Linked DNA regions of Pelodiscus sinensis. Each later gene encodes a partner of the first gene's protein in a complex. Links are inferred from orthologs where the notes say so. Each region holds a gene or a part of one and is shown on either strand. Other genes may lie near its edges. The genes, in order: AXIN1, SIAH1 and GSK3B.

Evidence for each region.
Region 2: the proteins of AXIN1 (region 1) and SIAH1 are in contact, whole or in part, in a crystal structure (PDB 5WZZ), measured with the Homo sapiens proteins. The link is inferred for Pelodiscus sinensis from reciprocal best matches to the Homo sapiens genes AXIN1 and SIAH1. Residues at the interface, in NP_003493.1 of Homo sapiens: Pro378, Lys379, Glu380, Val381, Arg382, Val383, Glu384, Pro385, Gln386, Lys387; in NP_003022.3 of Homo sapiens: Cys130, Pro131, Ser154, Thr156, Leu158, Asp162, Ile163, Val164, Phe165, Leu166, Ala167, Thr168, Asp169, Val176, Asp177, Trp178, Val179, Met180, Asn272.
Region 3: the proteins of AXIN1 (region 1) and GSK3B are in contact, whole or in part, in a crystal structure (PDB 4B7T), measured with the Homo sapiens proteins. The link is inferred for Pelodiscus sinensis from reciprocal best matches to the Homo sapiens genes AXIN1 and GSK3B. Residues at the interface, in NP_003493.1 of Homo sapiens: Glu384, Pro385, Gln386, Phe388, Ala389, Glu391, Leu392, Ile393, Arg395, Leu396, Glu397, Val399, Gln400; in NP_001139628.1 of Homo sapiens: Ile228, Phe229, Val263, Asp264, Leu266, Val267, Ile270, Lys271, Asn287, Tyr288, Phe291, Lys292, Phe293, Pro294, Gln295, Ile296.

The regions. Positions count from the first base shown.
Region 1 is NC_134726.1:4,493,953-4,501,830, forward strand, and holds the start of AXIN1 (axin-1), read right to left. Parts: upstream 3,037-7,878; 5' UTR 2,930-3,036; exon of another isoform or gene 2,835-2,929; intron 2,718-2,834; exon of another isoform or gene 2,421-2,717; intron 2,352-2,420; exon of another isoform or gene 2,056-2,351; intron 411-2,055; 5' UTR 320-410; coding exon 1-319. UniProt on the Homo sapiens protein: Component of the beta-catenin destruction complex required for regulating CTNNB1 levels through phosphorylation and ubiquitination, and modulating Wnt-signaling.
Region 2 is NC_134722.1:28,842,056-28,849,754, forward strand, and holds the start of SIAH1 (E3 ubiquitin-protein ligase SIAH1), read right to left. Parts: upstream 3,037-7,699; 5' UTR 1-3,036. UniProt on the Homo sapiens protein: E3 ubiquitin-protein ligase that mediates ubiquitination and subsequent proteasomal degradation of target proteins.
Region 3 is NC_134711.1:142,772,153-142,779,871, reverse strand, and holds the start of GSK3B (glycogen synthase kinase-3 beta), read right to left. Parts: upstream 3,056-7,719; 5' UTR 1,927-3,055; coding exon 1,839-1,926; intron 1-1,838. UniProt on the Homo sapiens protein: Constitutively active protein kinase that acts as a negative regulator in the hormonal control of glucose homeostasis, Wnt signaling and regulation of transcription factors and microtubules, by phosphorylating and inactivating glycogen synthase (GYS1 or GYS2), EIF2B, CTNNB1/beta-catenin, APC, AXIN1, DPYSL2/CRMP2, JUN, NFATC1/NFATC, MAPT/TAU and MACF1.

The DNA.
Region 1 (7,878 bases):
TCAGGAAAGTCCTGAACAGATTTATCCCATCTTGATCATCCAACAAGGAGTGCAGCGACTCGGCCCATCTCAAGTAGGGTGGAGTCGGAGAAGCACTCCCTTCAGGCTCGTACCCCAAATCCAAATCAGAGCGCCTTGGGGTTGCTGTAGAAGTCTCATTTTTAATCACGTCACTTTTCCCAGAATAGAAGCCATGGCTGATTGGCCTTGGATCCGTAGAAACTAGCTCACCCTCCTCACCAGGGACCGGTGGCCTTGGAGCATCTTCGGTGAAGCTTCCCCCAAGATCCAAAGGGAAGCCTTTCCCGTGGATATTCATTTTTATGGTGCCTGCTTGCACAGAAACAAGGAGGGACCAGGCTAAGCCTCAAAACACCAGTATCAGGAGTTCCAGAGTGAATGTGTTTGTCCTGTTGAAACAAAACGAGAACAAAATTAAAAATACTGCAGACAAAAATTCTAACGTGACTATTTTTAGAGCACGCCAATATTTCTATTACAGAGGTACTGAAACAAACAATCCTAAAAGGATTTATATATTTCATAAAGAGGAGATTTACTTGAATTTTAACATGTATATCCTAAACTCATAAAATAAGCAGTAGTTTTACATAGCTAAATACTAGGTAAATTCACATCTCCATAACAATTTTGGAATTTCTTTCAGAGTATGAAAAAATTCTCTGAAAATACTCCCAATTAGCACTAAAAATCAAGAATATAATGTAATCAAGCCATATACGTTCCAATACAATCACCATTACACACTATGAAATTCCCCTCCAGTCCTTGGCACATTTTGACATCACCTCAGCACTTGAAAAGCATTTTGAGCATTAATTAGGGTAAGTGAATAATATCCCTTAGTGAAATTAAAAGCATCATCATTCCCAGAATATTTTGCATATTTCTCAATGACACTCCTGTAATAAAGGAACATAATGTAAAAATTGTGTGTATGGCACAGCACTATTGAATATATCATCATACTTCATGGAGCAGGAGCTATTTACTGAAGTTTCACATAAGCTAACAAACATTATTTGCTGCTGACCCTGAGAACAGTCCTAGCCACCACCTGAGAAGAAATAATCAAACAATATTTAAAAAAGTAATTTGAACCAACATGGTGCAAAAAAAAAGGTATGTCTGGAGACAGGAGTAGAGTTGTACAACCTCTGGTACCTACTTGTGTACTAAATCAATATAACCTAAATTCTTTCAAGACACTAACAAAAGTTGAGTGTTACAAAATAATTCTGGGTCAACTAAAAAACCTGCAAAAGTGGCGAGGAATCCTGTGGCACCTTATCGACTAACTGAAGTGTAGGAGCATAAGCTTTTGTGGACAAAGACCCACTTCGTCAGATGCATGTGAGTCATGCATCTGACGAAGTGGTCTTTGCCCACGAAAGGTGCCACAGGACTCCTCGCCGCTTTTGCAGATTCAGACTAACACGGCTCCCCCTCGGATAAAAAACCTGAATGCTGTAAAGCTGCAGCTGTCTCACAGAGCACTTCTTTAAATGGACTAACTCAACTGCATGTGAAAATATACCAAGGGAAATAATTGTGAAATAAAAGCCACTCTCACAAAGCAAAGCCCACACAAACCAATGCATCTTTTGGACAACTTTCCCCGAGCTGAACAAATACAGCTAGAAGGTGCCCTTCCTGGCCTTCAAGACACCCGACAGTTTGCGCATCATCACAAAACAAGACAACATGGGAAACAACCAGGCTGAGTGATTTTAATTCCCAGGTAACTGTGGGTTTCAACTGGCTTTGTGATCCTGAGGCCAAGAGATACAGTTACTCAGCACAGCTACTGGGCCAAAACACACACGCGCGCTATGCTGAGGTTTGCCTGAACACCTGCAATTTCGGATCCAATCATTCCGCCCTCTGCCCCGTTCGCGGTGCGTTTCTCGTCCCTACGAGAGCAGCCAGGCCCCGGGGTTCATCCGAGCCCCACCACACGGACCCGCGAGTCCCCGGCCCCCCGTGAAACGTCGCCCCCTTTCCCAGCGCGTTGCCTCGCTCGCCCGCACTGACCCACAAGCCATTTTGCTCCGAGGCGCGGGCCAGGCCCGGGTGCGACTCGCCAGGCCAGGGCGCCCCGGCCCACGCCGCGGGGACACACGCGCCGCCTGAGGGCCCGGCGCGGGATTTCCAGCCTGTCACCTCCCCCTGCGCGGATCGGGGCTCCCGAGGGGCGGCCGCTGCCTCCCGGCTCCCCGGCCGGGCGCTGACAGCAGCCGCGGCTCCGCCTGAGCCGGCAGGACGCGGGGCCCGGGACCCCCGGAGCCCGGCCCCCCGCACGCCCGGCCCGGCCCCAGCGGCCTAGCGGCGGCCCGTCCCGGCGGCCCCACAATGGGGCGGCCTCCCGGCTCGGCCTGGGCCTGGCTCCGCTCGCTCACCCGCTCGGAGCAGCCGCGGCGCGGGGCCCGGCCCATGCGGCTCAGCCGCGGCGGCAGGCGGGGAGCGCGGGCGGCGGCCGCCGGGGAGCAGCGCAAGGCGGGCGGCCCGGGACCCCCATGGCCGCGGCCGCGGGCTCTGGCGGCGACACGGAGAGCGGCGAGCCCCGCACGGCTCAGCCCAGCCGGGAGAGACCGGCTCCGCCGCGCCCCCCGCGCCTCCGCCCGGTACTGCGGGAGAGCCCGAGCCCGCCGCGGGGCCGGGAGCCCGAGCCGGGGGGCGCAGCAGGGCCCCGGCGGCTGAGGAGGAGCGGGCGCCTGCAGCGCGGCGGGGAGCCCGGCCGAGCCCGCTCCGGTTCCCCGGCGCTGGGAAGACGCGGAAACGTCCGAACTGTGCCCGGAAAACGCAAAACCTGCCTCTCGGCGAGCCGCGGACCTGGGCCAGCTCCCGGGGCGGGGATCTTCTAAGCGGCATCAAACCCCCCCGTCCCCATCTCCGCGGCCACAGGCACCTTCAGACAGGCAACCCGAGCGTGTCCCCGCAGCAGCCTGCAGGGAGAAACGCCACCAGCGCGCTCGGCTCCATCCCCGGCTTCCCATTAGCTACCTCTGCAGCTGCTGCACACGCCTGGCTCCTGATAAGGAACAGGCTCCAACTCTTTCCTCCCGCCTCCAGTCCTAGGTCCTGGGAGTCAGGAGGGACCAGGGAAGGGGGGAAAGGGAAGGCCACAGCCTCAGAGACCCAAGTTGGTACCTTGGCTCCAACTGCAAACACTTCTGCGGTGTGGCAGAGGAAAGCCCTGGTGGGACTGAGGCAGAGGCACAAAAGCTAATGCTAGGCCCTAGCTCCTGGAGTCCTGGTAATCTCACAATCTCTGTTTTAGTAGACACAAACAGTTAGGTTGTGTCTACATTGGCATGATTTTGCGCAAAAGCGAGCGCTTTTACGCAAAAACATGCTGCCTCTCTACACTGGCGGGGAGTTCTTGTGCAAGAACACTGACTTCTAATGTGTGAAATCAGTGCTTCTTGCGCAAGAACTATGATGCTCCCGCTCAGGAAAAAGGCCTCCTCTTGCGCAACTGTTCTTGCGCAAGAGGCCAGTGTAGACAGGCAACATGCTTTTCTTGCGCAATAAACCCCGATGGCTAAAATGGCCATCGGAGCTTTCTTGCGCAAGAGAGCGTCTATACTGGCACGGATGCTTTTGCGCAAAAGCACATCTCTTGCGCAAAAACACATGCCAGTGTAAACGCTCTCTTGCTCAAATACTTTAACGCAAAAACTCTTGCGTTAAAAGTATTTGCGCAAAATCTTGCCAATGTAGATGTAGCCTGTACGTCTAGCCTGCCTGGGTGGAATTGTTTGAAAACAGGGCAGAAGCGTCACGGATGCCAGAGTCTGCAGGGAGCCTGACTCAATAACTCTGAGGAGGGGATTATGGTCTGTGCACCCCGCAGTGTGAGCCCCCCTGCTCTGAGGGGCTTGGCCCACCCACTTCAGGTGCTGGGACAAGAACAGGAGAAACCTGTTGCTCACAAAAGGGAGGAAAACTTGCTGCTGCTTCTAGGCAAGAAGTGGGCTCCGTGCTGCTGTACCTGCCTCTCCAAGCGTGGAACTGAGGGCACTGCCACGTCAAGTGCGCAAATGGGGCCACAGGGGCCAATTGTGGGGCTGTTCCCAAAGGCCTGGAGAGCCTTCATCCAACCCAGCCCTGGTGGGAGACCCGAACAGAGCGATCATCTTTGCTGATTGCAGTAAGGGAAAAACCCTGTGAAAAACAAGGGACAAGGCTTTATTTGAAGGGACATTTCCCTTCACATCTGTGATTTTTCTCTTGTGTACATTTCTCCTGCCTGAAGCATACCAGGCAGTCAGTATCGGCTTCAATGTCGTGTCAAACGGTACTTATCCATTTTAATACATTTCAGTACACCTTAAAATAGAGCAGGGACAGGTTCCCACTTGGCTGTTGGGGTGAGATTCAGCTCTCAGGCTTCACAAATCAAAGAGGAAGAAGATGGACTTTGTGGACAGCGGGCAAGATCCCTGTCCCCACAAAGGAGCCAGTGGACAGCCTGGGTCCGTCAGCTCTGACCCCAATTAGCTGGGTTTTTCCTTTTCTTTCCCTTTATTTGTTTGGTAGCTTGTTCCTTCAAATTAATAATAAAACTCAAAAAAAAATTCAATAGGCTTAGGAGCCTGGGGGTGGACCATGGAATGAGGATGCCAGCTACCCCAGTTACCGCTCTCCATAACAAAGTTAGGGCAGGATGAGCTGCCTGCCTTCCCTCCACCACCACCTGCCTTATCAAGTAGCTGCTCCCTAATGAGTCAGTTCTCATATAGCACCTAGTTCCAGCGCAGGATCCTGCTCGGCATGCTGGGAACAGGGGGGAGTAAAACAATCAGAGGCTGTGATTGGCTCAGACAGCAGGTGGGTTCCCTTCAGCCCCTGAAAGGGGCGCCAGTGACTCAGCTGATGTGCTGATGCTGGGGTGACTCAGATCCCAAGGGTGGGGGAGGGTGTAGAATAGTCCTGTTCTTTTTCTCCTAGTGGCTCTGATCAGAAGAACCTCAGCCAAGAAGGATCCCTTGGAAAGGTGCCAACCAGAGCAGTGCCCAGGGAAAGCCTCATTCTCCAGAAACCTCTCTGATTCCAGAGCTGAAGCTGGAGAAGGAGGTCTTATCAGATTCCCAAAGTTCAGTAGGCAACACAGTTTAATACCATGTGTCTGCCTGAAAAATAGTCCAAGCCTTACATGTGTGTCAGTGGAGGAGGGGATACTTGTCTTATCAGTCACTCTTTTCAGCTCAAACAGCTACACCTGGTTAAAAAACAGACAGTCTAGTCTCTGGCAGGGGTCTCAAGTTCCCAGCCCATGGGACATCTCTGGCTGGAGCAATTGCACAATCCAGCCTGGGACTCTGGCAGACTGGGGAGGGGGATTGTCCATTACGGGCCCCCAAGCCCCGCCCCTTCATGCCATCACTCCTCACTCCACCCATGGCACCCCATCCTGGAGGATGGGGCTTCAGGGATTATGGAGGGAGGGGGCCTGGTGTGGCTCAGTAGCAGTGGATGGGCCCCCCTCACTCCCTGCAGCAGCAGGAGTAGCAGGGGAAGTGGGGCACACTGGTCAAACGCACTCGCAGGTAGTATAAGGAGCATGCCCACTGCAACACCAGGCACCCTCCTCCCCATGATCCCTGAAGCCGCATCCTTGAGGGATGGGGTGCCATGGAGCGGGGAGAGGATGGGCAATAGTGGGAAGGGGCAGGGCTTGGGGCAGTAATGGACAGGTCCCCCACCAGGCATACTACACCATATTGCACAACTGCTCTGGCTGAGGATGGCCTGCAGGCTGGGAGTTTGAGACCTGTGGTCTCCGGTTTCCCTAGTCAGATTAAATATATTCTGCAGCTGGAGTCGACATACGTTCTCACCAAGAAGTGGCATTTTCGGGGAGCCATGTGAAAAGCAACATGCACTATAACTCTGAGAGGGGCATAATTGGAATCATGTTCTACCTAGATATAGACTGTTTTTTTAAAAAAAACCTAATGGTTAAATATAGGGCTGTCAACAAATCAGTTAACTCACACATTAGCTCAAAAATTGCAGCTTTAATCACACTATTGAACCATTGAATACCAACTGAAATTAAACATTTTGGATGTTTTTCTACATTTTCAAATATATTTATTTCTGTTACAACCCAGAATGGAAAGTGTACAGTGCTCCCTTTCTATTATTTTGATTGCAAATACTTGTACTAGAAAAATGATAATAGTATTTTTAAATTCGCCTCATGAATACAATGGTGCAGGCTATCATGAAAGTGCAATTTACAGATGTTGACATTTTTGTTAAATAACTGCACTCCAAAACAAAGTAAAACTTTAGAGTTTACCAGTCCACTTGTTCCTACTTCTTGTTCAGCCAATTTCTAAGATAAACAAGCTTTTTTTTCAGTTATGGAAGGATCTTACAAGAAGGAGGGAGGAAAATTTTTCTCCTTGGCCTCTGATGATAAGACAAGAAGCAGTGGACTTAAACTACAGCAAGGGAGGTTTAGGTTGGACATTAGGAAAAACTTCCTACTTGTCATGGTGGTGAAACACTGGAATAAATTGCCTAGGGGGGTTGTGGAATCTCCATCACTGGAGATATTTAAGAGCAGGGTTGGGTAGACATCTATAAGAGATGGTCTTGACCGTGTTTGGTCCTGCCATGAGGGCAGGGTACTAGATTGATGATCTCTGGAGGTCCCTTCAAAGTTCTCGTGTTCTATGATTCTATAAAGGTGCCCACCTATTTACAATGTTTCTTGAAAGTGAGAACAGGTATTTGCATGTCACTATTGTAGCTGCTATTGCAAGATGTTTATGTGCCAGATATGTTAAATATTCGTATGTCCCTTCATGCTTTGGCCACCATTTTAGAGGGCATGCTTCCATGCTGACAACACTTGTTTAAAAAAAGAGTGTTAACATTTGAGACAAAACTTCTTGGGGGAGAATGACATGTCTCCTGCTATATAGTTCACATTAGCGCAGTCTTGGATGATGACGCAGCACATGTTCATTTTAAAAACATTTTCCCTGCAGATTTGACAAAACGCAGAGATGGTAACAATGGGATGGCATCTGACTCACATGATGAAAATGAAAGTCAGCCTGCACTGCTTGGGATCTTTATCAAGCGGAACCTATTATCAGCATGGACAAATGTCCCCTAGAATGGCAGTTGAAGCATGAAGGGACATATGAATCTTTAGCACCTCTGGCATACATTGTGCTGCCGACTGTAGCAGTGCTATGTGAACGCCTGTTCTTTCTTTGAGGTGACAAGAAGAGGGCAGCATTATCTCCTGCAAATGTAAATAAAGTTGTTTGCCTGAACAAGTGGTTGAACAAGAAGTAGGCCTCAGTGGACTGGAGTTTTATATTGTTTTGTTCTTGAGTGCAGTTTTTTTTTGTCCACAATTATAGATGTGTAAGTTCAATTTTCAGGATAAAGAGATTGCACTACTATACTTGAATTAGATTAACTGAAAATACTATATGTTTTTAATTACAATATTTGCACTCTAAAAAACAAACGTGAGCACTTTACACTTTGTACTCTGTGTTGTAATGCAAATCAATATATTTGAAAGTGTAGAAAGCATCCAAACCTGTTTAAGTAAATGGTATTTTATTATTGTTTTAACAGCACAATTAATCACACTTTTTTTAATCGCTTGCCAGCTCTAGTTAAATGTTACCACATTTAAATGTGTAATGTTTCCAGGCTCAGGAAGAGTTCTGCACAGAAAGGCAGCTCTGTGCCTATTACTCATACATGTGGGTGTGGGGGTGTTAGCCGGGAGAGATTTGCTCTACCAGGTAATCGCAGCTGAATAGAGCTTTTCCTGTTTAAAATGCAACGCTTCTCTGAAAAGCGACTGTACAAACA
Region 2 (7,699 bases), on another chromosome or scaffold:
ACCAGCCTGGGCGCACGGAAAAAGGAGGAGGCGGAGAAAGCAGACGGCAGCTCCTGCGTGCTGCCTTTCCTTCCCTCCCCCAGGCCCAGGGAGCCACCCTGGCATATCGACCTCATGTGATCAGCCGAGATGGCTGTGCCGTCAGCAAAACACATTCCGAAACGCCGGGAAAGAATGGGTGGTGCCCCACCTACCTACAACGCGCTAGAAACTCGCTCGCTGCTACTTTTAGAAGCTACTTCAACTGCCCCGTATAAAATACGCTGCGGAATTTTAACTGATTAAAGCTGTTTCCAACAGCTGATAACTGAATTTCTTGCTTTTCCTGTACATGAGTATTCTGAGTAGCAGCCAACAGGCTTACACAACACCACAACCACAATTTTGTATACCTATTTGTAACAGTATTATTCTAACCTATAAATCCACTTTGAAAATGTGACGTTAAAGCATGTAAGAGAGAAAAGCTATGAAGTATTGTCCCCCACAAGCCCGTAAGAGAGTTGCCAACTTTCTACTTCCACAATAAAAGCACCCTGCCTCTGCCCCTTCTCCAAGGCTCCACTCCCACTTGCTCCCCCTCCCCCATCTCTCATTTTATGGAGGCTGGGCTGCCCTGGGGATAAGGATTCCAGCTGGAGGTTCGGACTTTTGGGATAGGGGTAGGGATTTGAGGGTTAGAGGGATACTCTGGGCTGGGACTGAGGCATGGGGGAAGACAGAGGGTTGTAGCTCCAGGAGGAGGTACAGGCTCTGGGATGAGACTGAAGATGAGACGCTTAGGGTGCAGGAGGAGGCTTTAGCCTAGTATCAAAGGGTTCAGTGAGTGGGAGGGAGGTTGGGGTAGGCTGAGCTCAGGGATGCAACCTCCTTACTGCTTAACTCAAGCAGCTCCTGGAAGCAACAGCATAACTGCATCAGCCCTACTATCCAGTTGGTGGCACTTTTAATAGGGAGGGTTGCCAGATGGTTTCAACAAAAAAACGGGACGCACTTGACATTACATCACAAACTACATTACATCTTATTTAGACACTGGACATTTATATTTTCTCTGTTTCCCGAACAGAAAGCTCAAATACTGGACTGTCCGGTTCAAACCCGGACACCTGGCAATCCTAATAATAGACTAGTCATTGGTACTGACCAGAGCCACTAGGGTCCCTTTTTGACTGGGCAGTCCAGTTGAAAATTGGATAGCTGGCAGCCAGTAATCAGATTAGTTTTACTGATTTGCTTCTGACACTTGGGTGGTAATGAATTGTAAATGTGTTAAACTTCCTACATAAAGACTATTCCAGAAGGCAGAGGAACCCAGGCAAGAGTGCAGAAAACAGGTGTGTGGGAAGATTCCATGGAGCTGTTAAGAAATGGCACAGTTTTTAAACTTAAGAACGGCCATCTAGTCCAGTACCCTGTCTGCGGACACTGGCCAATACCAGATACCCGAGAGGGAGGGAACGCAACAGGTAATCATCATGTGATCCCTCTCCTGTCAACCATTTCCAGACAAACAGCGGCTAGGGACACCGCTAATAGCCGTTGATGGACTTAACTTCCATGAATTCATCTAGCTCTTTTTGCAACCCTGTTAAAAGTCCTTGTCTTCACAACATACTCTGGCGAGAAGTTCCACAGGCTGATTGTGCTCTGTTTGAAGAAAATTTCCTTTTGTTTTAAACCTGCTACCTATTTATTTCATTTGGTGACCTAGTTGTTCTATTGTGGGAACAAGTAAATAACTTTTCCTTATTTACTTTTTCCACACCATTCATGATTTTATAGATCTCTATAATATCCCCGCACGCTCCCCTTTTCTAAGCTGCAACGTCCAAGTCTTTTTAATCTCTCTTCAAATAGGACCCATTCCAAGCCCCTAATCATTTTTGTTGCCCTTTTCTAAACCTTTTCCTAATGCCCAGGGCTCGACAAACCACTGTTTCTACTCGCCCATGGTGAGTAGATTTCAGCTGGTCGCTCTGTGCACCCCATTCACCGGCGCTACACACATGCGCAGTGCCGGTCTGGAACATGCGCGGTGTGGGGCTGGCGAGTAGCTCTCACCGCAGTTTGTCAAGCCTTGCTAATGCCAATATAACTTTTTCGAGATGAGCTGACCATTTCTGTACCCAGTATTCTTGATCCTCACACAAGTGGAAAAAATCAAGTTGATGCAGCTGAACTTATCCAGTACTGAACATACTGGATTCTGGAAAACTGGCACCTGGGATTACTGTAAAAGTACGTGAAACAGTAATAGTGAAGACATAAAGGCACATTTTAAACACAAACATAGTAAATCTGTAAACCCAAGATTTCCAAGAGCAAACAGAGGTTGCCTGCAAAAGGGCAAAACATTGTGTATGAGTTCTATAATGTATAAAACGTCCAAGTTTTTTTTTTTTTTTTTTTAAAGGAAAAAAGTGTTTCCCACTACATTAGAAATTCAGAGTTTGACCACCCTTGTTTTTTCCCTGGAAGACTACAGAAAACTATTAGAACTGTATATCAGTTCAAGACAACTGCTCCTCTCAGTGGTCCAAAATGGGCACTCAATCACAGGCTTCCAGCTCTCCCAGTTGTAGCCTCTTTTAGCTGGAGACCCATGTCTCACTCCCTTCTGATCAAGGAATGTCCTAGAAAAACATTTTCCTTCCTTCACAATGCACTTCCCATCAAAGACCCTCTGCCTAAACAGATATGTTTGCTTTCCCTTAATATACTGATAATAGTGATGATCAGTTATAAAAGGTAAAAACATTCTAGAAAATATTCTTTCAAAATGAAAAAGCCTACATGCATGCTAATAAAACTTAACCCTAACATGAATTCTGGCAGGCTTAGTCCTTAACCCTACCCCAATGAGTGCTGGCATAATCATAGGTCGATATTCGCAAAAGCTTCTATTTAAACATAAATTGAAGTGTGATACACGTAACTGTTAAAGTGACCATGTCTCTAACTGGTTACAAAAATCATGATTTAATCTGGTGCTGACAGGACTGTAGGATATTAGGAATTGTGCTGATATTTTTAGTCGTAATAGCTATATTTCACCCACATTTCCAGAGGTTTCAGAAGTCCAACGGCTCCTCCTAGCTGACAAAATCTCTAGCTTCTTCATCAACTTTTATTTTTATGGAAAAAAAAGGGAGAGAAAAACAAAAAGTACAGCTGAGTGGGCTGGAAGTATCCCATACTTAGTTTTTTTTATGTAAATGAGGTGTTAAATGCATGGAAAGCTGATTTTATACAGCAGCACAACAATTGGCAGGTACTCCTTCCCCATCACCCCCCTCCCCGCCTTCTTTTTCCGTTATAAATTCTGGATTCCAATTTCAGCGCATCTGAAAGAGTGGGTTTTGCCCAAGAAGGCTCAGGGCTCTCTCGATAAAGATATAGATATAGATATAGATTCTCTAAGGTGCCACAGGACTACTCATTGTTTTTAAAGTTACAGATTAACATGGCTAACTTTCTGAGACTTTCATTTTGAAGAATTAAGTTCTGGTTTGCAATGGAATCTTAAATAGTTGAGATAAAGAGTTAAACAGCAGTCCAGTCTCATACAGAAAGGTAAGCTTAGCAACAGTTCAGATAGAAAGCTAGTCACGCTTACTACTTATTAGAGTCAAATTTCACTCAATTGACCTTCAATAACAGTTGTGGTGTCTCTAGACTGCACATGACAGTTACACAAACTTCTGAAAGTCAGATCAATTATAAATTTTAATAATTCCCATTCACTTTCAATAGTCATGGAATTATCCTGATGTACATTTGTGTCTGATATGTTTCCCTCTTATTTATTACAGAGTTATACAAAAGTCAACAACTGTTGTCATTTCCAGAACTTGTGTCAGGGAGCTATAGTCTCTTTACACAAACCCCTCTTGCATACAAAAGTTGGTTTAATATAATAAAAAAAAGAGTTACCTAATGCAGTATGAACCAACCACTGACAGTTGCAAAATAAGGACTATTCTAATAAAAAAAGATCATTTACACAAGACATGTACCAGTTCGGAAAGTCAGTGATTTAAAGATTATGGATTTAGAGAATTTTTCTGTGTTCTTCCTACACCATGTTTTCACACTTGAAGAGCTCAAAAATGCAAACTGTTGATTCTGCAGTATTCAGAGCTATGGACTGCATTATCAATTCTGAAATACTGTCTAGTGAAAATCCAGTGTCAACTATTTTATATACAGGCAGTCCCCAGGTTACGTACAAGATAGGGACTGTGGGTTTGTTCTTAAGTTGAATTTGTATGTAAGTCGGAACTGGCGTCCAGATTCAGCCACTGCACCCAGCTGCTCTACTCCAGGTATCCACATGTCAGCCGCTGCTGAAACTGATCAGCGGCTGATTACAGGAAGCCCGAGGCAGAGCAACTCTGCCCCAGGCTTCCTGTAGTCAGCCGCTGGTCAGTTTCAGCAGCGGCTGAATCTGGACGCCAGTTCCGACTTACATACAAATTCAACTTAAGAACAAACCTACAGCGGCTGACTTGGGGACGCCTGGGGCAGAGCAGCTGGGGTGCTGCCGGGTTGGTCCAGTAGCGCCGAGGAGCGGCGCTGCGGGACCAACCCGGCAGCACCCCAGCTGCTCTGCCCCAGGCATTGTCGGCGAGAAAAGCCTGGTCTGCTGGGGGGAAGCGGGGGGGGCGCACACTAGCTGCGCCTCTCCTCCCCAGCAGACCAGGAAGACGCGGGTGGCGGTCCCGCCGAGACGCACCGTGGTCCCGCCCGCATCCTCCGCGGCTTTGCTCCACGTCTCCCTGGTCTGTTGTGGGGAGCAGACCAGGGAGACGGGGAGCAAAGCCTCGGAGGACGCCTGCAGCGGGATAGCCACGGTGCGTCTGGGCTGTCCTGCTGCCCACGTGCTCCGCGGCTTTGTTCCGCGTCTCCCTGGTCTGCCGGGGGGGGGGGCTCCCCCCAGCAGACCAGGGAGACGGGGAGCAAAGCCTCGGAGGATGGTGGCAGCAGAACAGCCGCTGCGCATCTGGGCGTCCTGCCGCTCGCGTCCTCCGGGGCGAGAAAAGCCCCGTTCGTAACTGCGGATCCGACATAAGTCGGATCCACGTAACTTGGGGACTGCCTGTAATCGGGTTAGACTCACTTATTACACTATAATTGATAATGTAAAGGTGTATTAAACTAAACAAAAACAAGGTACTCTTATTCAAGAACAGGAGTAACTCTAGAGATGCAAGAGTTTAACCAATAAGCATTATCTTATCAGTTAACCTTACTAATTAAACTCCCAGCAGTCTGTGGAGCATTTAACAGACTGAAATTCAATCCACTAATAGTTTTGTTTGTTTTTAAACATCTGCAGCATTTACACATATTATTCTGGGATAGTAGTTTCTGAATAACTCCCACTGCAGACAAGCTCTAAACTTGCACTCTAAAGAACAGATTCTACAAAAATAAAGCTATAAACATAAGACTTGCTAATAAATAGTCATCTTTTTAATTCCACATGATGCTTGATATTGTTTTAACTTTTAAAGAAACATCCATTATAAAGTAATCAGCAGTTGGCTTTGTGTGATGATCTCAAGATTATGGGCTACTAACACTTTTTTCTTTTTAACAGAATATCATAACCAATGATTTAATCTCTGTGTTATTGGTGTTGGAGTGTGCCTAACCAGCCAATCCAAGTTTCACAACACACAAGATTACAGGGAACTGATTAAATTAAATATACGCAGTTAAACTTGGAAAGCATCCTATTACCCATGATGCACAGGAAGTTGAAAGTCCTCCAAAATCACTAAGGGAAAATTACCATCTAACCCCAGATACTGCAAGTAGTTGGACCCTGAACAGGAGGAATAACCAGCAAATTAAGTACCTGAGACAGAGAATGCTTGGGGCCCTCTCAGTGCTCCATTTCAGCCTTTTCAGTGTCCTATCTGCAAAAACGGCCTTCTCTGATGCTTCAAAGAAAGGAAACAAAAAACCTCTGCAATACATCACAGAGGAAAAATCCCTTCCTGATCTCTTCAGGTAGCTGTCTGAAGCCTTGAAACATAAGTTTTAAGAACGTAATACATAAACCGAAATAAACCCTCTCAGAACTGCTACCCCCTACTCCCCACCATCACAAAAATACTCTATCAACACTTATATTTGGGCCTGCCCTCTCGCAAAAGTTTGTTTGTTTGGTCTCATCTCCCAGTAGGGCTGAAGGCTATTCCAAAACCTTACTGCTTGGAAGGTTAGAATCCTTCTACTTTCTATCCTGAATTTGTTCATGACCAATTTATACCCATTTATTCTTCTGCCAACACTGTCCCTTAGCTTAAATAGCTCTTCACCATCACTGGTACATACATACGTGTATACACACACACAAAGTGTATTTAGAGAGACTAATCATATCCACCCTCTTTTTGCTGTTGCTAGACTAAACAAAACAAGCTCTTCCAAGCTCCTCAGATAGGTTGTCTACTCTCCTATTCATCACAGTAGCACTTCTCTGCATCTGTTCCAGTTTCAACACATTTTTTAATACAGGCGATCAGATGTATACAGTATTCCAGATTCCCTCCAGCAGAAATACCTCACCTGATACATCCTCAAATCACATTTGCCTTTTTCTGCAGCCACATATTGGTTTCTTATTGTCATTCAGTGATTGACCAGAACACACCCAGATCTTTCCCTAAATCTGTGGCTTCCAACTGGTAATCCTCCAGCTTGTAGCAGAAATTAGTAGACCCTAAATGCATGACTTTCTACCTGTGTTCAATTGAATTTACTCTGGTCTTCAAGGTCATCCAGACCTACTTCATTCAAAGTTGAAAAAACAATTAGGAGATGGAAGAGGAGTGGATCAGATCTAACTGAAAAACAAGACCAGTTTTTTAAAAGCTATCTTATGAGCTGGATGAAACCTAATTTTTGGTTAAGTTAAAACCTCATTTGACTGAGGGGGTGTTAATGCACCCTTCAATTAACGTAACTGGAAGGATAAGCCACCACCTAGGACCAAAAAAACAAAAAACAAACAAAAAAACAACCAATAAAAACCCAACAACCCAGCATTTCTTTAAGGAAAGTTGAGGAGCAGAACGCAGAGGGAGAAATAGTAACTAAGGGTATGTCTCCACAGTCAAGAAAAAACATGCATATGGCTCGTGCCACCCGAGTCAGGCTTGTGGGGCTCGTGTGCGGTTTTATTGCTGTGATAAGTTTTGTGTGCATGCTAACAAGTGTTTTCTTGGTGCTGAGAACAAGAAAAGATGTTCTCTCCTATTCGATTCCTCCTTTGTTCGGTGAGATCTACATACATTCCTTGTAAATGAACAAAATTGGATCAAAGAAATACCTAGCTATCACCAATTTCTCATCTTAACTGAAATATCCTAGGGCCTCAAACTCTGACTAGCCATTCAGGTCAAAAGAAGGCAGTGCTAGTGTCAGGTGTGAGCGTTAGCTTCTAAGACAGACTTGCTGAAAAGGTACACTTGTTGAAAAGGGGAAAAATGATAGCAGTGCTCACAGAAATGTAAAAATGGTCTAAACCAGTGGTGTACAACCTTTTTCGGTTGGGAAACCCAGCTGTAACACATGCCCCCAGAAATGGTAAAATGGATTATCAAAGTGACCAGTAATCTGACTATCACAGACCATAATTTTTTTCATGAAATAGTGGAGACAAAAGAAGCTTTGGCTAACCTGG
Region 3 (7,719 bases), on another chromosome or scaffold:
CTGTTGCTCCGTTTTTATATCCTTATTAAAGACACCAACAGGACTTGGAGCACAGGATAACAATGGCGGTGGATTATCACCATTGTGGGCCTTTAAATGCCACTGTATAACATGGTAGGAAAGCAATCGTATTTGTTATCTTGTTAGTTCACACCAATTTATGGGCATGCAGCTTCCTAAACTTTGACCTCATATATGAAGAAAGAATCAAATTAAACTTAAAAAAAAATAAGAGGAAAAGCTTAGGTTAGACCATTTTAGTTTCTGGTTTGACAGCTCTGGATCTAGGTCTATTTTACATAAAGTTATATGTAGAAACATTGATTAACACATCTTGCTTCCTCTTCTACTCTCATAGAAGGAGAATGAATGAGAATAAAATGGAGTCATACAATATTCTCCATATAAAAAGTGAAATGTGCTACTGCTACATCTAATCAACAGTACAGTCTTATGCTGCTAATATGGGCAAACTACTCAAAATCTGCAAAAGTACTTGAGGTATCCTGATCACGCAGACATGACAGGGTAGACTTCAAACCATAAACCCAACCTTTTTATTCAAAGCTCCTACCACAGCAGCAAAAGGCATCTCAGACTAGAAAATGCAGGAATCTGAGACAAAAAGAGCTCAAAATTAACCTAAAGCTTGCTGTAAACTAAAGCTCCACATATTCAAATAAAGCAACAGGATATGAATACAGCTTTGCCAGGTGTAAATATCAAAATGCAAGCCTCAAAATGATCAATTTAAATAATAGTAATGTATATCAGATGTTCAAGGTCCTTTTCATAAAGCCATCTAGATTTCTACAAGTGTGGAATTGAAGTGTCTTTGATTGGAAATTATTCACATAGATCACATAGAAAGATGAGCAAAACCATTTTACCTTTGCATATGAACAGATACAAGCCAGGAATAAAAAAAATCTGATTATAAATATGTAACAGCTTTAGAAATACACAATCAGGCCTTTTTCTTCCAACACTTCACCTTTTTGATTAATAGGATTTAAATATACATGTCTAATTCTCCTCAAAATCCCAATGCCATAACCGGAAGATCAAGGATTAGCACATTAAACCACTTACTCAATTTACAACATACATGTAATGCTACTGTTTAGAATGGGGCCACAGATCTCATTCTTTAACAAATAGCCCCAGTTCTGAAAGCTAGTGAAAAAGGAAATCCTGCATTCCCAACTCAATATGTGCACAATATATCATATTCAAGATTTCTCTCCCCCCCCCAGCACATTTAACAGAGCCTGAAACACAAGCTATTATGGGAAATAGACTGTTCTAAATCTCTGGGTAAGCCTGCACAAAAAAGTACTCGCACTCTAGTTATCAGTGCATATCTAGAGCAAACATTTCACTTTTCACAACAGAATAGGTTTAGAAGCATACAACTGTACAAATATGTATAATGAGCACATATGTGCACGTAATTCATTTCCTTCCCTCCATTGCTCCACAGGCAGAAACGCAGCACATAGCTCTTTAAAACTAAATTCGAACAGAAATATTCCCTTTAACAAGCAGGTCAAACTGACAACAATCTTGTTATAGACAAGAGACAAAAAGGCACAAAAGTATTTTTTGTTAAACAGGCCGAAATGGAAACCATGGGTGCCTATTCAAGGTTAATGAGGGGGAGTGAAAGGGAGAGAAAGGCGGCTGCCTCGTACGGTGCTAGAGACAGCCTAGCTCTTCTTCCACTGACCAGCCCAGAATTCTCCACACAATTAGGTTTACTGACAAACAGTGCAAATTACATTTAAAAAACCCGATGTTTAATCTGCACAGAGTGTAGGTGGGGAATCAATACTCACTGCTAACTTTCATGCTGCCAAACGCTGAAGGCTGCTGCACTGGTTTGCAGCTCTCTGCAAAGGAGGTGGTTCTGGGCCGCCCTGACATGGTCTCTTTCTCTCTCCCTCGGATCACCTCCTTTCTTTCTTTCTTTCTTTCGCCTTCTTCTTTTCCTGGTTTGCGTACGCGCGTCTCTCTCAGGTGGAGAGGGGTGAAAAATGCAACATTAAATTCCAGCCCCCTCCCCCGCGGGGGAACCCTCTCCGGGTCTCTCTTCTCAGGGCTGCTTCGCTCCTGCTTTATAAAACCATCCTCCCCAGCAGCACCACTGGACCCGACAGCTGCCTCCACCCAGCACACCAGTCCCCCCGGCGCTGCGTCTGCCGAGGGCCGGGAAGCAGCGGGGGGTCGCTAGGCCTTGCTGCCCCCACCCCGGGAGCCAGTCACATGAGGCGCAGGCGAGGGCCGAGCTCCTCTTCTTCCCTCGCCGGGTTTTCTCCTTCTCTCCCCTCGCCTCGTAGGGAAGCAGCAGCCACGGAACTATTTTCTTCGGCGGAGCGATCTCCGGGTCTGCTCGTTGCTCCTCGAGACCGAGGTGAAGGATGCGAACACGGAAGAGGATCCGGCGCGGGCGGTGGGATCCGCGGCGGGCGGAGTGAGGGGTGTGTGTGAAGCGGCCGGGCGGCCTCGCTCGCTCGGGCTCCTCAGTGCGGGGATGAGGCGGCGGCTTCGGCGCGGCTCCTCATAGCGCCCGCAGGGGCAGCGGGCGGCGGCTCGCGCCGGGGCGGCTGCAATGCGGGTGGCGGCCGGAGGCGGCGGCACAGGCCATGGCGGCGGCTCCCGGCCCCAACTCCTCCTCAGCCGGCTTCAGAGCCCTGGCGGCGGCCGCTCCCCGGGGCGCCCCGGGCACATGGGACCCGCCGGCCCGGCCGACTGCGCCTGCCGCTGTCCCCCGCGCCTCGTCCGGCAGCGGCTGCCTCCTGCCGGGAGCCCCGCGGCCGCCGCCGCTCAGTCTCTTTGTCCCCGCGGCCGCCGCTCCGTGCCCGGCTCCTGCCGCCGCTGCGCTGTGTGTGTGCGCCAAAGCCGCGCAGCCGCCTATCCCCGTCGCCGCCCTACGCTGCGCAACGGCGCTAGCCAGGCTCCGTGAATACCCAGCCCGACGCACTTGCCAGCCCCAGCCCGAGGCTCCCGCACGGCAACACCCGAAGCGCGTCGGGGCCAATCCGGCGCTGGGTACGGGCCCAGCCGCACCAGCGTGGGGCCAATCACCGAGCGGCAACGGCAGCATCTGGAATGCGTCGGAGCCAATCGCCAGGCCGCTACGGAAATAGCCGAACCAACCCGAAGATCATCAGAGCCAATCAGAAGCCGTTGCCTCCGCCCTAGCAGCCGCGAGAGCGGAGCCAATGGAAGGAGCAGTCTCTTCCGGCGGTTGCCGAGCGAATCCGATGATAGACGGAGTGGGCAAGCCAATCAGAAGCCGCTCGGTTCCCTACTTACCTGAGCTTTAAAGTGAAGCCTGGGCCGCTGAGCGGCTTTGGCTGTGATTGGGTAGCTGCGCTGTCATGTGATTGGCTACGCAGGATTAGGCGGCCCAATGACGTCATCCAACCCGTTCTCTGCGCGGTGCCAATCGCCAGCGTCGTCCGTCTGTTTCGAAACGCGGATCCCTATTGGAGAGGGGGCGGGCCTGGCCCATTCCCGAGGGGGGGGGGCCGCCCACATCCCCAGCCGTGAGCTGGGTGGGCAGCGGCCTGGCTCCAAGCTCCGCCCGCGCAGCTCAACGTGGCACCCGGCGGCCCGGCGCAGCAGCCTCGCGCGCGCCATGGTCTGCTGCACTGCGCACCCCCAAAGCCGCTCCTGGGTGGGGCCGGCGCGTGCTGCGGAGGCAACCCACGCAGTGCCCGTGCGCGCCAGCTGCACCGAGACAGCGGGACCCCACAGAAGGACACAGCTGCCAGGCGTGCTGCCTTTGCTGCTGTCCCTGCAGGGGCCAGGCCTGACCCAGGCATCACTCTGCACGTGTGCCAGTCCCTTCACAAGGGGGGGGGGAGACCTAGGTAGCACAGAAAGAGGGTGGAGGGGAAGCTGGCAAATGTTCAGCGTGCGTGTGGGGCAGTTGCATTAGGGCATGAGCAACACCATAGGCGTGCACAGCACATTTCATTAGGGTGTGCACCCAGAGAATTTTTTTTAAGGCGAAAATTCATTGAATACTTAATCATAAAGGACATTATTTGTATTCATCAAACAAACAAAAGAAACTAAAATTTAACTAAACTTAATTTTTTTTAAATGAACAACTAAACTTTACTTAAAAATACAGACTTAAGTATGGGACATTGTATACAGGCAGTCCCCGGGTTATGTACAAGATAGGGACTGTAGGTTTGTTCTTAAGTTGAATCTGTATGTAAGTCGGAACTGGTACATATTGTAGGGGAAACTCTAGCCAAACATTTCTCCAGAGCTCAGTTTTATTCTCCCACATCTCACTTCCCTCAGGCCTTTATTCTCAAGCTGAGGTGTCTGCTGAGAAAAGCTGCTCCGCATCTCCCTGGTCTGCTGGGGGGGGAGGGGGGGGGGAGGCGCGCTAGTTTCGTGTCTCCCTGGTCTGCTGGGGGGAAGCAGCTAGTGCGGGGTTGCCTCACCCCGTTTGTAAATAGGGATCCGATGTAAGTCGGATCCATGTAACCCGGGGACTGCCTGTACTTAGTTTGTTTTTTACATGTGCAATTTGGCGCTTATTGTATAATTCAGCAATCCATACTTTAAAACTAAAAGAGAGTATCATGCAATTAAATTAAAATGCAAAGCCACTTTTTTTTTTGAGACATTATAGGGTTACCAGGTAGTCTCAAAAAAAATACCAGACACACTTCAGTGGGGGGGAGGGACTAGCCGGGAGGGGAGCAGGGCTGGCCGGAGGAAGGGGGGGGCTGGATCCCAGGGCGCTCCCCCCCTGCACGGTTCAGGCGAAGCATGAGTCAGTCCAGCTGTGGCTCCACCACGCGCTTGACCAGCTCGCAGGATCACGGACCAGGCTGCCCTTCCTTCTCACACGGAACCAGGGCTCCCAGTGCCAATCGCGCCCCACCTCCTAGCCACTCTTTTCCCCCCACACACACACCAGGCTTCCGGGTGCCCAGTCGGAAAACCAGAAAATACCGGACATTGCACGTGTCCGGTATTTTCTGGATTATTTTTACCGGACAGAAAAACTGGACTGTCTGGTAGAAAACCAGACACCTGGCAACCCTAAGACATTACACACGTCAGTGGGCAACACCTACAGCTGCTCCCCGAGTTGCGAACGGTCGAATTACAACCATTCGCACTTACTATCAAAGCTCCGATGGAGTAGTCGTAAAGGCAATCCCTGAGTTACGAACGCGACCCATGCTTACGAACAGTGCGGTCGCGTGTAATGAATGGATCAAGTTATGGCCAAGTGTTTGGTCCGTAACTCGGAGAGAGGCTGTACATGCTTTGTGCTAGTAAAGCTTGTCCATCAAAGTACACCTTTGTGTGTTCTCTGTGTGTAGCAACTGGAACTCAAATAAATGTTTCAAAGCATTTCCTCTTCATCAAAGAGTTTAAACGGGGTAGTGGAGTTACTTTTATGAAACTCTTGCCTTTAACGCCAAATGCCTAAATTACCTTGTGTTTGGACAGGGCTCAGAGGGATTAATAAAAATCTCTTAAATGTCCAGAAATAGTTATATGTAACAATCTCATGATTTAAGTATAGAGTCTTGGGAATTTCCTAGAAGCAAGTGTTGGAGGAACCTAAGGAAGCTGTGAATCTTCTGTGCTTAATTATGTGAAGTTGCCATTCTTGTTTCTGCCAAACTATAAAAAATAAGATTTTCAATCTGTCACTGTGACTGCACTGAATCATGCTAGTCCTAGGCCTTGAGTAATTTTTGTAGAGAAATTCCACATTTCGGGAAAGGAGACATTTCTGTGAAAGGTTGCTTTTTAAAAAACAAGATTACTATTTGAAGCTGATTGGGAAAGCTGGAAGTAGCCTTCAATTATCAGGCAGAGGGGAACAACACAAGTTGACAAATGGTGTGTGATAAACTGCACACATGATAAAGTTTGAAACTAATTCAAAATGGTATTGGTCAGCACTTAGGCTACGTCTAGACTGGCATGATTTTCCGGAAATGCTTTTAACGGGAAAGTTTTCCGTTAAAAGCATTTTCGGAACAGAGCATCTAGATTGGCACAGATGCTTTTCCGCAAAAGCCCTTTTTGCGGAAAAGCGTCCGTGGCCAATCTAGATGCGCTTTTCCGCAAAAAAAGCCCCGATTGCCATTTTCGCAATTGGGGCTTTTTTGTAGAAAACAAATCTGGGCTGTCTACACTGGCCCTTTTGCACAAAAGTTTTGCGCAAAAGGACTTTTGCCCAAACGGGAGCAGCATAGTATTTCTGCAAAAACACTGACAATCTTACATGAGATCGTCAGTGCTTTTGCGGAAATTCAAGCGGCCAGTGTAGACAGCTGGCAAGCTTTTTCCGGAAAAGCGGCGGATTTTCTGGAAAAACTGACCAGTCTAGACACAGTCTTAGTGTATCTCAGAGCACAGGGAAACCTACTGCTGGTTTTATCACATGGCTATCAAACCTCATGAGCAGGCATGGAACCCACCTATCAAATCTGCTTACCAAAAACTTAAAAAAAAAGAGTGAGGCTGCTATATTTATATGTTAAAACTCTCCTTAATTTCAACCTATAAATGTTTTTGCCAGTGTAGCTTATACTATTTTGCTGAACAAAACAAAAGCACTTTTTGCCACTATAACTGTCTACTCTTGGATTTTTCCCAGTATAGAAATACTGAGGAAAAAAAATCATGCCCCTAACCAAAATTGCTATACCAGCAAATATTTGTAATTTAGATCTCGCCAAACGTAACTAAAACCCTATCCTTTACATTACAACAACTTTATTTCCAAGTAGGAATGCTGCTTCAAAAATAAATTAGTTGACTCCAAATTTTCCTGTTCAGCACTTTGCTCATGCCAGTGCAGCCAAAGATGCTTGCTAGAAGCATTCTAACCTTTTTGGGGGGGAGGGGGAAGGGGGAGGGGGGAGATGACTTATGTTTCTAAGTAGTCCAAGGGACCAGAAATTGTTTAAGGTCTGAAACTCTAATTCTGTACTACTGAAAAGCTAAACGTTCCATTATTTCAGTAGGTGCTATATCATTTATAGAAGCTAGGTTGGTATACCATTCTTAAATGATAGCTCAGCCTTCCTAAATCCCACCAGTAAAGCAACAGAACCCTCTCATCACCCAAATGCCTCCCTTCTGGGGCACTTTCATATCCATCCCCCTTAAGGATCCACCATTCAGAGCTCAATCCACTCAACAACCCACCAATCAGAAATTCACATCCTCTTGCCTTTTCTTGTGCTGTAAATCAACTCTTAATAGTGTCCTACTCCAACCAGGAGCAGGGAAAGTTATTTACATGATTTGGACTGCAGAATGGTTTGGTCATGGTCTTTTAAATCTAAGAAAATTAAATCGTTATATTCAAATATCCACTGTTTAGGTCTCTATAGGTGCATCTACACAGCAAAGTTTTTTTGCAATAATGGCTATTATTCTGAAATAACTTTGCAAGCGTTTACACAGCAATAGCATTATTTTGACATAATTTTGAAATAACAGGAGGCTTATTCTGACTTCTGTAAACCTCATTCTAAGAAGAATAATGCCTATTCCGAAATAGTTATGTGCCCTGCCCTGCTGACTGGAAGCCCCACCCACACTCACCCAGGGCTGACCTTGCTGAGTAGGTAGGGCAGCAGCAGGCAGAGGCAGACAAGGGAGGAGCGGGCAAGGAGGGGGGGGCATGGCAGCTGCGCAACCCACCATGATCCC